2 linked regions of the Caenorhabditis elegans genome follow. The protein of the gene in region 2 interacts with the protein of the main gene of each other region in a pairwise test. Each region holds a gene or a part of one and is shown on either strand. Other genes may lie near its edges.

Region 1 (5,995 bases), on a different chromosome or scaffold from region 2:
TTAGGTCAGAGGCTGTTTTCAGAAATGTTATGTTTTAGTTGATATGCTGAAAAAATTGAAAACTTTCTGTTTTTCGGTCCAAATTGAAACAAATTTTTTATCAACAGCCCTGATCAGGTGAATATTTTAATAATAAATAAGGGATTTTTCAAGGAAGCTCATTTCTACACATACACTGCCTACAAAGTTGCCGAAACTCAATCAAATATTCCGAAGAGCAAATAAAACAGATCGTAAAAGGGGAAGGGAGCTCATGCTCATTCAATGTTGCCGTTTTAGATACAACAACTTTCTTAACAATTCTCTCATTCGTTCGAAGGCTTTTTGATTGAGATGAAAGAGCAAAAATTTCATGTTTGCACATTGTCTCCGACTACAAAAAAAAATGCGCATTTTTGCATAAGCTGATTGTGATTGCAAACAATGAATTACTAAGTGCTTTTTCTCATAATCTACTCTTAAACTTCAACTTACTGCAATATCCAATCGCATTTGCAGCTCGATGATTTTGTTCTCCAAACCAGTGTTTAACTTCTGAAGATGTCCAACTGAACGTGCTTCTATCTGAAACAGAAAAATTAATATTAGAATAAGTAAGAAGTCAAACTCACCTTAAGCTCCCGGAGACGACGTTTGGCAAGCCATTTACGGACAGCGCACTGAACCATGACCACCTTTTTCCTGTTAGCGATTTGCTCACGTCTCGCCAAATATCCACGCCAAGCTGCTTGAATTGTGATTGCAGATTTCTCATAGCGAAGCTGGAATATTAAAAACAATTAATAAAAAACTTTCAACAAATTATCATACCTTTTCCACATATCTTCTGACGCGATTCGCCTTAAACATTGCCTGGATCCCAATGATTGAATCGCGAATTTGTTCATACTTCCGTCGCTCCAAATATCCACGAACAGCAGATTGCATGACTATCACAGCACGATGCATTTGGAGATACTTGATTCTTCGGAATGCGAGGAATGCTTTCAACGATGCCTGGACGATGAGCAAAGATCTTCTCATCGTTTCGTATTTTCTCCTGGCCAAAAATCCTTTCCACATCTTCTGAATCACAGTTGCAGCAGCTGCAAGCGTATCGAGCCGAACTCTTTCCAGAACGGCAACTTGTCCAGTACGTAAGAAGATTTTCGTTTTTCCAACTGCATATTTGCCTTCTTCCAAGCATTGTTGGCATGCTAATTCCGCAAACTGTTTAGGTTTGTCTCTCCACAGGGCAGCTTCCTTCGTGTAAATTACACGGTATCGACGAGCAAACTCCTCATACGGATAACGAGATGGGAAACCAGCAGCAGAAATTCGAACAGTCTCAAGAACTCCACACGCACGAAGTTGTTGTATCGCACGTTTTGGCTCGAAATCGAAACTGATTTTGCTGTCATTTGGCTTGATGCATCGGACGTAATGTGGACGCGTCGAACAAAGTACAGACATGAGCTCTTTGAGTGAATCACGAAATTGGCTGGCCACAGTCTTCTTTATCGTACGTTTTCCGGGTGTCGATGAAGATGATGATGAAGAGACGGAGGTTGGTGCAGTTGATCCGATGACTGTGCGAATGAATGGAAATTTACTGGCAACGACAACATCAAGAAGTTGCTCTCCAATCGCATCCCTGTTCTTCTCCACAAATCCATCCGTACTGTATGTGACGTCAGCAGCGAAATGACGAACAATAAAATCGTTGCTCCGAACTTTTGGAAATGCGAGCTGTGGATTTCTCTTCAGCTCCGTGCTATTCTGCAATTGACTCAACCAGTCAGCATCAGATCCATTCAGACGTTTGCATTGCTCGTCGAGAAGATTGATCATTCCGACAGGACCTTCGATAAGATCAATAGCGGGCTGATTGTCATGGAAATCAACACGAACCCATTCAATTTCCTCACGAATATATTCTTCTTGCTCCAACTTGAAGACATGCTGATTAAATTGTTGTTGTAGTTTTTCGTTTGCATAATTGATGGAGAATTGCTCGAAGGAGTTCACATCGAATGTCTCGAATCCATAGATATCAAGGACGCCAATGAAACGATCTGGCCGCTTCTTTTGATTTGTTCCGTCCAGCTTATCCTTCTCGTTCAAAGCTTCATTGATTTTGTCGACGAGCCATCCGAATAAATGGGAATACAGCATTTTCGTGAGAGCATCTCTCGAACGAACAGCTTCATTTTTGGTCAACGGCTTCGTCACGATCTCATTCACAGCTCGAATCTCTCGCCTTGTCAGCCAAATTCTCAGATCGGATTCACTGATTTTCCAAAACTCCCGGCAAAGTCGTGAAATCTCCTGACAACTGCTAGCAGATACAGCGGACGAGCCCTCGCCGTTTTCGAAATGCACGTTTCCGAGAAGCAATAATCCAGCGAGAAGGCGGAATACATCGGACATCTGCTTTTCGTCGAATCCAAGCAACTGAAGCGCTTTCAGCAAAGCCTCGAAATCAGCTTTATCATCAACTCCGGGAATACGACTGTCTCCTCCTTGAGTGAGATACGAATACGATTCGCAAGGTCCCAAGTGAAGATCTTTGAGAACTTGATGATTCCGAGCGGCACATAACTGATAGAAGATGTGATAATTGCGCTCTCCAGGTGCTTGGAATACTAGACGACTTTTCTCGAGCAGATATGTCTTCATTTCGGCTCCGACAATCCTTCGTCCTCGTTCACAGAAGTTAATCTGTATGAACTTCCCAAATCGAGACGAATTATCGTTTCTGAAAATAAAAACAGTTGACAAATTAAGATTAATTTCAAATAAACCAACCTAATCGTTTTGGCATTTCCAATCGACTCCATAATCGGATTGCTCGCCAACACACGTGCTTCAATGCTGGTGGTCCCGCCATTTCTGGTCTTGCTGGCTGCAACAGATGCCAAATAGCGCATGACAAATTTCGCAGATACGGTTTTTCCAGCTCCAGACTCGCCACTCACAATAATAGATTGTGATTTTCCGAAAGCTCCCATGTCGAAGTGGGCCTCTTCTGCTACAGCGAAAATGTGAGGATCCATCTCACGAGCTGATTTTCCAGCTCCTCGATACACTTGGATAATTTCTTCTCCATAAATGTGCGAGCAATCGGCGTAAGGGTTGATTGCTACAAGCACAATTCCACAATATGTGTAGATCGATGATCCTTTCACAAATCGAACTTGTAGATTGTGAAGAACTGCCGGCTCGTGAAGATAGGAAAGAAGTGTGAGATCATCCTTGCCAACAAGAAATGCAGGATTCCTGAGGAATGGCAACTGGTCCAATGACTTGATGGCGTACTCGACTTCCTGAAACGAATAAGTTTTTGAAAACGATTAATGCGATAAACTCTCTCACCGTATCATCTTCGAGCCTTATCCGAACATTCCGTGTTTGGAATGTGATGTCCTCTTCCAAAGTAGCTCCAATCCATACAAGGGTTGGGTGGCGGTGCCAAATACGAACTCCCTTCTGAAAATTTCCAAAATTATTTGAATAACAAAGTTGAGCAACAAAAAACTATTAAAACTGAAATGGCATCTAATAGTAGGATTTAAATAATTCTCACCTTGAAGTTTTGCAGCGGGAACAACTGGCCCCTGCCAAGAGTGGCGCCTCCGTCCATATTGGATGCTCCCAATCTTTTTTCGATTCGGTGAACAGGCTCGGTGAATCTGAAATATTTTGGAATAATTGAACATAAGTCACGAGTTAAAGAAAGTTAAGAAGAGAACGAAGAGAAACGATAGGTTGGTGAAATGTTGAGTTGAGACAGGAAAAAACGTGAAATATTTACATGAACATATCACTGTGTATTTGCCCTTCCTTCTCCCATTCTACGATATTGTCCGGTTATCAGGTTCGGAAACGCAAAAATAAACATTTCGGCAATGAAACACTTTTTCCCGTACTGGACGTGAAGACAGCGAAGATCTACGGTTTTGCATGGTGCCTCATAAAAATTTATTATCCCCGGTGGTGCCGAAATATACATTCCTCAATATCCATCTCTCGCGCCACTCAACATTTATGAAAAACAAAGTGAGGAGGTGTAGGATTAAGTGGAAAGAAAAGATAGATTTGAATTGGCGCCTCTTGCAAGCATGTGCAACTTGCCAAGGACACTTATCGGCCGGTGTTCCTCTCCGCTAAGAGACTGAGAAGAAGCTTGTTCTATTCAATTCGTTACTATTCATCAAGGGCAGTCTCATTTGGAAACTTGTGATTTATCACATTTTGGGACTACTTTTTTGTGTCACAATGAAATAGGGAATAATACTGGTTTCGACGTTGTTTTTTTTATAGCTACTTTTTGTTTATGACAACAAAATAATAATTTACTCTCTCCTATGAACTTGCTGATAATCAAAAAATGTATAATCGTTATGGGTTGTAATGAAAAATTAATTTCGTGTTCACTATTTTTAGGAGAAAATGTATGTAAATCGGGAGTAACGAAAGAAGCGTTGCTTCGGTGACAAAAGACAGCCGGCTGCCATTTCAAATTTCAAACCAGCGCCTTGCGGCAATTTTATCGCCAGAGCAAATCTGCATACGTTGCGAAGGTGTGAAGGTGTCAACAGAGAAAAGGAAGAGCGGAGAAATAGAGAAAGTGATTAAAATACGAAGAAATTCTTATCGGCAATAAGTAGCTGCTAATAATCCTGTATTTACCACTTGTTTCGATAATAAAATAATAGAGAAAAAGGAGAAAATAAGCTAAATTCCACACTTTCTTATTCGGAAACAGGAAGACATGGATAGAAACCAAAATCGTGATGTGGGAAAAAAGAACGACAACATTAGTTTTCAATTCTGGGTACAAGCCGACAAAATCCGAAAAGTAGAAAGCGAAACGAGGAAAGAAGCGATTTCAATTCAAAAGCGAAAATTGGGACGGTCTACTACTAAAAACGCTGCTGATGGAGGTAGATTAAAACGAACATTTGCCTAATCGCTACAGAGTCTCTCCACTTTCAGTGCTTCCGACAAGTGATGACGAGCTGTTGACGGCCATCATAAAATTGCGCCGAAAATGAAAAAAATCTGCCTGAAGAAGTAAAAGAATGTGAGGAAACAGTTGTTTCCACATATAGTAAGAGCGCAAAGCAGAGGAAGTGATTAGTTTTGAAAACAGGAGATAACACGAAAAATGAAGCTACTTCGAATAATTCTCAAAAGAAAAAAACGGGTATTTTACAAAATCGAATTCCAAAAATTTGAACAAAAACTAATTCCAAATGAGTTTTTTAAAAAGTCACTTTCTAGAAGTTATTTCGAAAATTAAAGGGACATCGAGCTTTTCGCGCGCGCGGGTCTCGAAGCGATGAACAATTTACTGTAAAAAATCTATGTCGGCCTAGAATTTATCAGTGAACAATGTTTTATTTTTCTATTGTGGCTTAAAAAGTGCCAAAATGAATTAATAAAAATAACACAAATAAAAATATTTATATTTGTGATATCAATTTTCATATGGGCATTAAAAAAAGAAGATTGGCAAGCTATTAAAGACAAATCAGTTCTGGAAAAACGATCAAGTGATCAGAAACTGACCAGAAATGATGATCAATCACTTTCATCACAGTGCGGACGCACAGTCAATGGCAAAATAAACACGGATGACAAGCGCACTAGTGTTTTTATCCGAATAAGTGATGTTGGCGCATTTTCCAGAACGAACAGTTTTTGATAGAAGAAACAAAGAAAATAAGAAGCGATAAAAGTTCTAAATCGAGGTTACATGCGTTGATATATTCACTTGCGCCTATAAAAAAGAATTCGGGGCTAATTGTGATTTTATTGATGGACAAAGTTAAGCATTGGACAATATTAAAAGTTTTCGATCGCAAAAAACTATCGAAGCGAAAATAGAATTATAGGAAGAGCGCAAAACGGTTTTAAAATAGAAAAACGACGAGGTCGGCCAGAAAACTAAAACCGGAGGCGGCGGGTGGAAGATCAAAAAAGAATGCGCCTCGTGGAGTCAATTGCGAAC
Region 2 (5,957 bases):
GGCAACTTTTTACTCTGGACTATAACAGTAAGTTGCGTTGTTCCATACGGTTAGGAGTACGGTACCGTACCACTTTAGGCTGAAATGGACTTGTGCGATTTAAAGCACTAAAGACTGTTGGTATATTCTAGAAGTGAGGGATTAGAGAATCACTGTAATGACTACTGTAACGTGTGGTATGTGTGTGTACAGTGTAGTAACTTCATACATGAGTGTACTGTAGGAGTACAAAAGAAATTACGAATACTGAAGTGCTTACTGTAGAAAACCTACCGTTCTGAAAAATTATAAATCAGCCAGATCCAAAATTCCAGATCCAAAAATCAATATCAACACTGTGATGCTGGTATGGGGCAGCTATGACAGTATCGTACCACTTTACGCGGAATTCTTCAACGGACGTAACCCACCGTACTCCCAATTTATTGACACTAAGATTTTGATGAAGAAACCCGAACGAACAATGGATTTGTATGTGACTTTGAGAAAAAGTAGCGAAAGTTCCACCGGATGGACTGCGTTTAATTTCACATAATTTTTATTTTTTTGAATAATTATTTTTCGGGGAACTTGGTTTTGAATAAATTTTTAACAAATTGAACGTGGCTGCAAAACCTTGTAAGATATGAATTCTCATTAGCTGAGAAATTAAAATCACAGGCTTTCGAGAAAAAATTGGCGGGAAATTCGAATTTCTATTTAAAAAGTTTACAATATGCTAAAAATCTAGACAAACTTTAACTTTTCATATAAATTTGGCGGGAAACTCGAATTTAAATTTTTTTTTTTCAAAATATTTAAACAATTTTTTTTTTCTATTTAGAAGTTCAAATATGAGTTATTTGAAATTTCTTTTTTCTAAAAATTTTGCACGAAATTCAAATTCATGGAGTTCGCTCTGGTTCAGTGGCTGGTCTTCTAATGAATTATGTTTGTTTTTTCGAACATCGAAAGGAAATAAGCGGGACTCATTTCATTGCTTCCTCCTTCATTGCTTCCTCCTTTTCTCCCTTTCGAATTGTACTACGAGACCCCCTTTGTGCATTATTATTTTACCCCCATTTTCCACCCCAAGACAGTCTCAAGTTATAGGAAATCTTCACATGATTTGCTCACAGTGCATGCACACAAAAAGTTATAAGATCTGAAGAGAGACGCAGACAGATTATTCAAACAGCAAGGGCTCCCACCACCGGAGAGGATCTGCGGATTCCGCCGTAATTTTACACTATCCGTCGGGGGCCGGACACTACTACACTGCCCTTTCCGCTGAACAGACGTTTCTATTCGTTTTTCATCGATTTTTGCATAAAGTTCGGGTTTAGTGGGTTTAGTAAACCTAAGAATTTCTAGGTTTTTTATGAATTTTAGGTCCTTTTTTTGAATTTATATAATTTATTTTAATGTAAATACTATGAAATTTTTATTTTGATTTTTTCCGAAAAAAAAATATCAAAAATTCCAGAAATATTTCAGCCGACCCATAGCCGCCGGGTATAGCACTAGAGCCTCACGGCAGTACATATTTATTTAGAAACTCTAGTATTCCACGTGAAAAAATATATTTAAATATACCAGAAATTTTGAAGGAGTTGACGACTACAGTACTCCTTAAAGGCACACGTTTTTCTGATTTCAAGAAAATTTATCGGTTCGTGCCGTAGTTTTTGAGAAATCCGAGTGCCGTAGTTTTTGAGAAAAAATTTTCCTTGTGGTTGCCCATATAATTATTTTCATGACGAAAATCTGAAACGATGTTTTATGGGTCTGCTAAATATTTATCATACCCAACTTTGGTCTGCTAAATATTTAGCATACCCAACTTTGGTCTGCTAAATATTTAGCATACCCAACTTTGGTCTGCTAAATATTTAGCAGACCCATTTGGGATATTGAGTTTATCCTGAAATGATGATTTCCTTTGTTTAAATCCACTCAAATTCCGTTTTTTCTCTGAAATCCTCTAATCCCCTGAAAAAAACCTAAAAATATATTTTTTTTACTATATAAATTCGGATTTTTCCAGAAACCCCACATATTTTCGACTTTTCCCGAACTTTTCCCACTCGTTATCTCTATTTCTCTTCTATTCCCTAGGATATCTCTCCCGCCTGGGAGCTTTTCGAAAGCTCCAGAGCACCTGGGCGGAGCTCCCGCGGCAACTGGATTTTTTACCGTTATTCTTCATTCATTTTTCCAGGACATTAACAAATTTTCTTGCAGTGAAAATTTTTATTTCAAAAAAAAAGAAAAGAAAGTCAATTTTAGGATGTTATACATCTCCAAAATTCGTTAGTTTTAGCTTTAAAATCAAAGTTTTCATAAAAATTAAATTTGAAATCCCTCCAAAAAATAGTCTGCGCTTCACACTCTCTAACACGTGCCGGTGGAGCGCGCTTGCATTTTTCCTTTTTTGTTAATTTTTTTTTGCGGGAAACTTTTCGGGAAAATTACTCTAAAACTCAATAAAAACAGCTTTTAAGTGCATTTTTCTTGAAAATTAGTTTCAAAAATGATATTTTAATCAGTTTTACACCATTTTTGTCGATTTTTCCTCTTTTATCCGTCGAATTAATAGTATCTCCTGACAAAAATAATGATTTTATAGTTTTTTTTTTTTGGTTTTCAGCAATGGTTGCTCGAGTACAGACTGCGGAGGAGATCCGCGACGAGGGAAATGCTGCAGTTAAGGATCAGGATTATATAAAAGCTGATGAATTGTTGGTTTTTCTGAAATTTCAGTGGAAAACTGAAATTAAACTGATTTCCAGATACACTGAAGCTCTCCAACTCACCACTGACGAAGACAAGGCTCTTCGGCCGGTTTTGTACAGAAATCGAGCAATGGCTCGGCTGAAAAGAGACGATTTTGAAGGAGCACAATCGGATTGCACGAAAGGTTTACAAAAAACCTGGAAAATTTGCTGAAAAACCTAAATTTACAGCTCTGGAATTCGACGGGGCCGATGTAAAAGCTCTCTTCAGACGATCGCTGGCTCGTGAACAGCTTGGAAATGTTGGGCCAGCTTTTCAAGACGCAAAAGAGGCTCTGAGGCTCTCGCCAAATGATAAGTGCGTGGAAAAACTAGGCGAAAACCGATGAAAATTAAAAGAAAAATAATTTTTTCTGGCACTTTCCAGTTATATTTCAAAGTTTTTATGACCAAATTTCAGTGAAAAATGCAAAAGTTGCAAATTTTGGGTCTGCTAAATATTTAGCAGACCCAACCTCCCGAAACTGATTTTTAAAGCTAAAAATTATTAGAATTTTCAGACGTTTCTCTCCGAAATATAGCATGCCAATAGAAAAATTGACAAAAATCAAGGTTTTCTCATCGAAAATAGCAAAATAACTTTTAAAAATCTACAGAAACTCACAATTTTTGTTTAAAATGCCAACATTTATAAATTTTCTAAATATTTAGTTTTAAATTTGTAATTTTCTCACTTTTTTCTGTGAAAAAATATGCAAAATGAAACTGAAAAATCCACTAAAACATGTTTAAAAATTTATCTTGAAGAAAAACGTAGGAAATTTCAAATTTGCAGCTAAAAAATCAGCGAAAAAATTTTTTTTTCAAAATTTGAGGAGGTTGGGTATGCTAAATATTTAGCAGACCCAAGGAAAAATATTTAGCAGACCAAAGATAGGTATGCTAAATACTTAGCAGACCAAAGATAGGTATGCTAAATATTTAGCAGACCAAAGAAGGGTATGCTAAATATTTAGCAGACCCAAGGTGGGTATGCTAAATATTTAGCAGACCCAAGGAAAAATATTTAGCAGACCAAAGATAGGTATGCTAAATATTTAGCAGACCAAAGATGGATATGCTAAATATTTAGCAGACCAAAGATGGGTATGCTAAATAATTAGCAGACCAAAGATGGGTATGCTAAATAATTAGCAGACCCAAAGAAAAATATTTAGCAGACCAAAGTTGGGTATGCTAAATAATTAGCAGACCAAAGTTGGGTATGCTAAATATTTAGCAGACCAAAGTTGGGTATGCTAAATATTTAGCAGACCAAAGATGGGTATGCTAAATAATTAGCAGACCAAAGTTGGGTATGCTAAATATTTAGCAGACCCAAGGAAAAATATTTAGCAGACCAAAGATGGGTATGCTAAATATTTAGCAGACCCAAGGAAAAATATTTAGCAGACCAAAGATAGGTATGCTAAACATTTAGCAGACCCAAGGAAAAATATTTAGCAGACCAAAGATAGGTATGCTAAATATTTAGCAGACCAAAGATGGATATGCTAAATATTTAGCAGACCAAAGATGGGTATGCTAAATAATTAGCAGACCCAAAGAAAAATATTTAGCAGACCAAAGATAGGTATGCTAAATATTTAGCAGACCAAAGATGGATATGCTAAATATTTAGCAGACCAAAGATGGGTATGCTAAATAATTAGCAGACCAAAGTTGGGTATGCTAAATATTTAGCAGACCCAAAGAAAAATATTTAGCAGACCAAAGATAGGTATGCTAAATATTTAGCAGACCAAAGATGGGTATGCTAAATATTTAGCAGACCAAAGTTGGGTATGCTAAATATTTAGCAGACCCAAGATTTTCTCACAATTCCACTTTTAAGCACTTAAAAATTCAATAATTTCACTCAAATTTCTATTTTTCAGAGGAATTGTTGAAGTTCTTCAGCGTCTCGTAAAAGCCAACAATGATAAGATTAAGCAGACCACTTCACTGGCTAATAAGGTTGGTTTTGTGACCTGAAACCACGAATTTTAAATGAATTTTCATTGAAAAACCCCGAAATTTTCTCAGGTAACTGACATGGAAAAGCTAGCGTTCCGTGGTGAGGCGAAGGACACCGAACAGAAAATGACTGCGTTGAACAACTTGTTGGTTTTGTGCAGAGAATCTGAATCCGGAGCAACAGGAGTTTGGAATCAGGTATAGTTTTGGAAGCTGGACGAAAAATCTACATTTACTGGGAAAATTTAATGGAACTTAAAAAAAAATTTAAAAAATGGAAATAAATTGAAAAATATACCGTATATTTGAAAAAAAAATGCAAAAAAAAACTGAATTTTCTAGATTTTCAGAGCAATTTTCAGATTGTTTTTCGAAAAATTTTGCAGTTTTTATCTAAATTTTTCCGATATTCCTTAAATTTAATTGTCGAAAGTTCAATTTTAATTTTTTTAAAGAAATTTTTTTAAACTGAAAATTGTAATTTTTTGTAGATTTTTAAAATTTATTTTGCTACAACGAGAAAACCTTAATTTTTGCCAATTTTCCGATTTTGTAGAAACATTTGAAAATTCAACTTTTTAGCTTTTAAAAAATCAGTTTAAAAAAAATTATTTTTCAAAATTTTAATTTTATCAAAGTATCCCGAATTTGAATATTTTCCTGCAAAAATACCCAAAAAAAAAATTCTAATTTTTCCATATTTCCAGGGCGCACTTGTTCCATTCGTCCTGAACCTAATCAACGACGCATCGGAAAACGAGGAGGTTACCGTAACCGCAATCCGAATTCTCGACGAGACCATCAAAAATAGCGTCAGATGCATGAAATTCCTAGCTATGCACGACCCAGATGGCCCAAAATCCGTCCGTTTTGTGTGCCGGCTAATGTGCAAAAAATCCACAAAAGACTTTGTGGATGCCACTGGAATTCTGGTGCAACGTGTCTTCAATGCAATGGCTAAAATGGATCGGCAAAAGGAGATGAAGCCGGATCCAGAGGTGGCAGAAGCCAATAAAATCTGGATAATTCGTGTGCTCTTGGAGCTTCAAGAGATGCTTCAGGACCCGAAAGTTGGTGCAGTTCAGCGTGAGACGTGCATCGATTTATTCCTGAAAAATCTGATGCACATGGACGGTGGAATTCCACGTGGATGGTCGTGGAAGTTTGTGGAAGAACGTGGATTGCTCGCGTTGCTTGACGTGGCAAGTCAGATACCCGAACTGTGTG

Evidence for each region.
Region 1: the proteins of unc-45 (region 2) and hum-2 interact in a two-hybrid assay, tested with the Caenorhabditis elegans proteins (one study listed by BioGRID).

What each region holds. Positions count from the first base shown.
Region 1 is NC_003283.11:9,383,857-9,389,851, reverse strand, and holds the start of hum-2 (Myosin motor domain-containing protein), read right to left. Parts: upstream 3,678-5,995; 5' UTR 3,623-3,677; coding exon 3,566-3,622; intron 3,469-3,565; coding exon 3,355-3,468; intron 3,306-3,354; coding exon 2,788-3,305; intron 2,740-2,787; exon of another isoform or gene 2,738-2,739; coding exon 811-2,737; intron 762-810; coding exon 612-761; intron 565-611; coding exon 475-564; intron 1-474.
Region 2 is NC_003281.10:488,918-494,874, forward strand, and holds the start of unc-45 (UNC-45/Cro1/She4 central domain-containing protein), read left to right. Parts: upstream 1-2,629; 5' UTR 2,630-2,631; coding exon 2,632-2,720; intron 2,721-2,771; coding exon 2,772-2,899; intron 2,900-2,945; coding exon 2,946-3,072; intron 3,073-3,489; exon of another isoform or gene 3,490-3,918; intron 3,919-4,651; coding exon 4,652-4,730; intron 4,731-4,799; coding exon 4,800-4,928; intron 4,929-5,437; coding exon 5,438-5,957. Other genes in the region: F30H5.5 (Salivary lipocalin), read left to right, coding at 1-27, 315-535.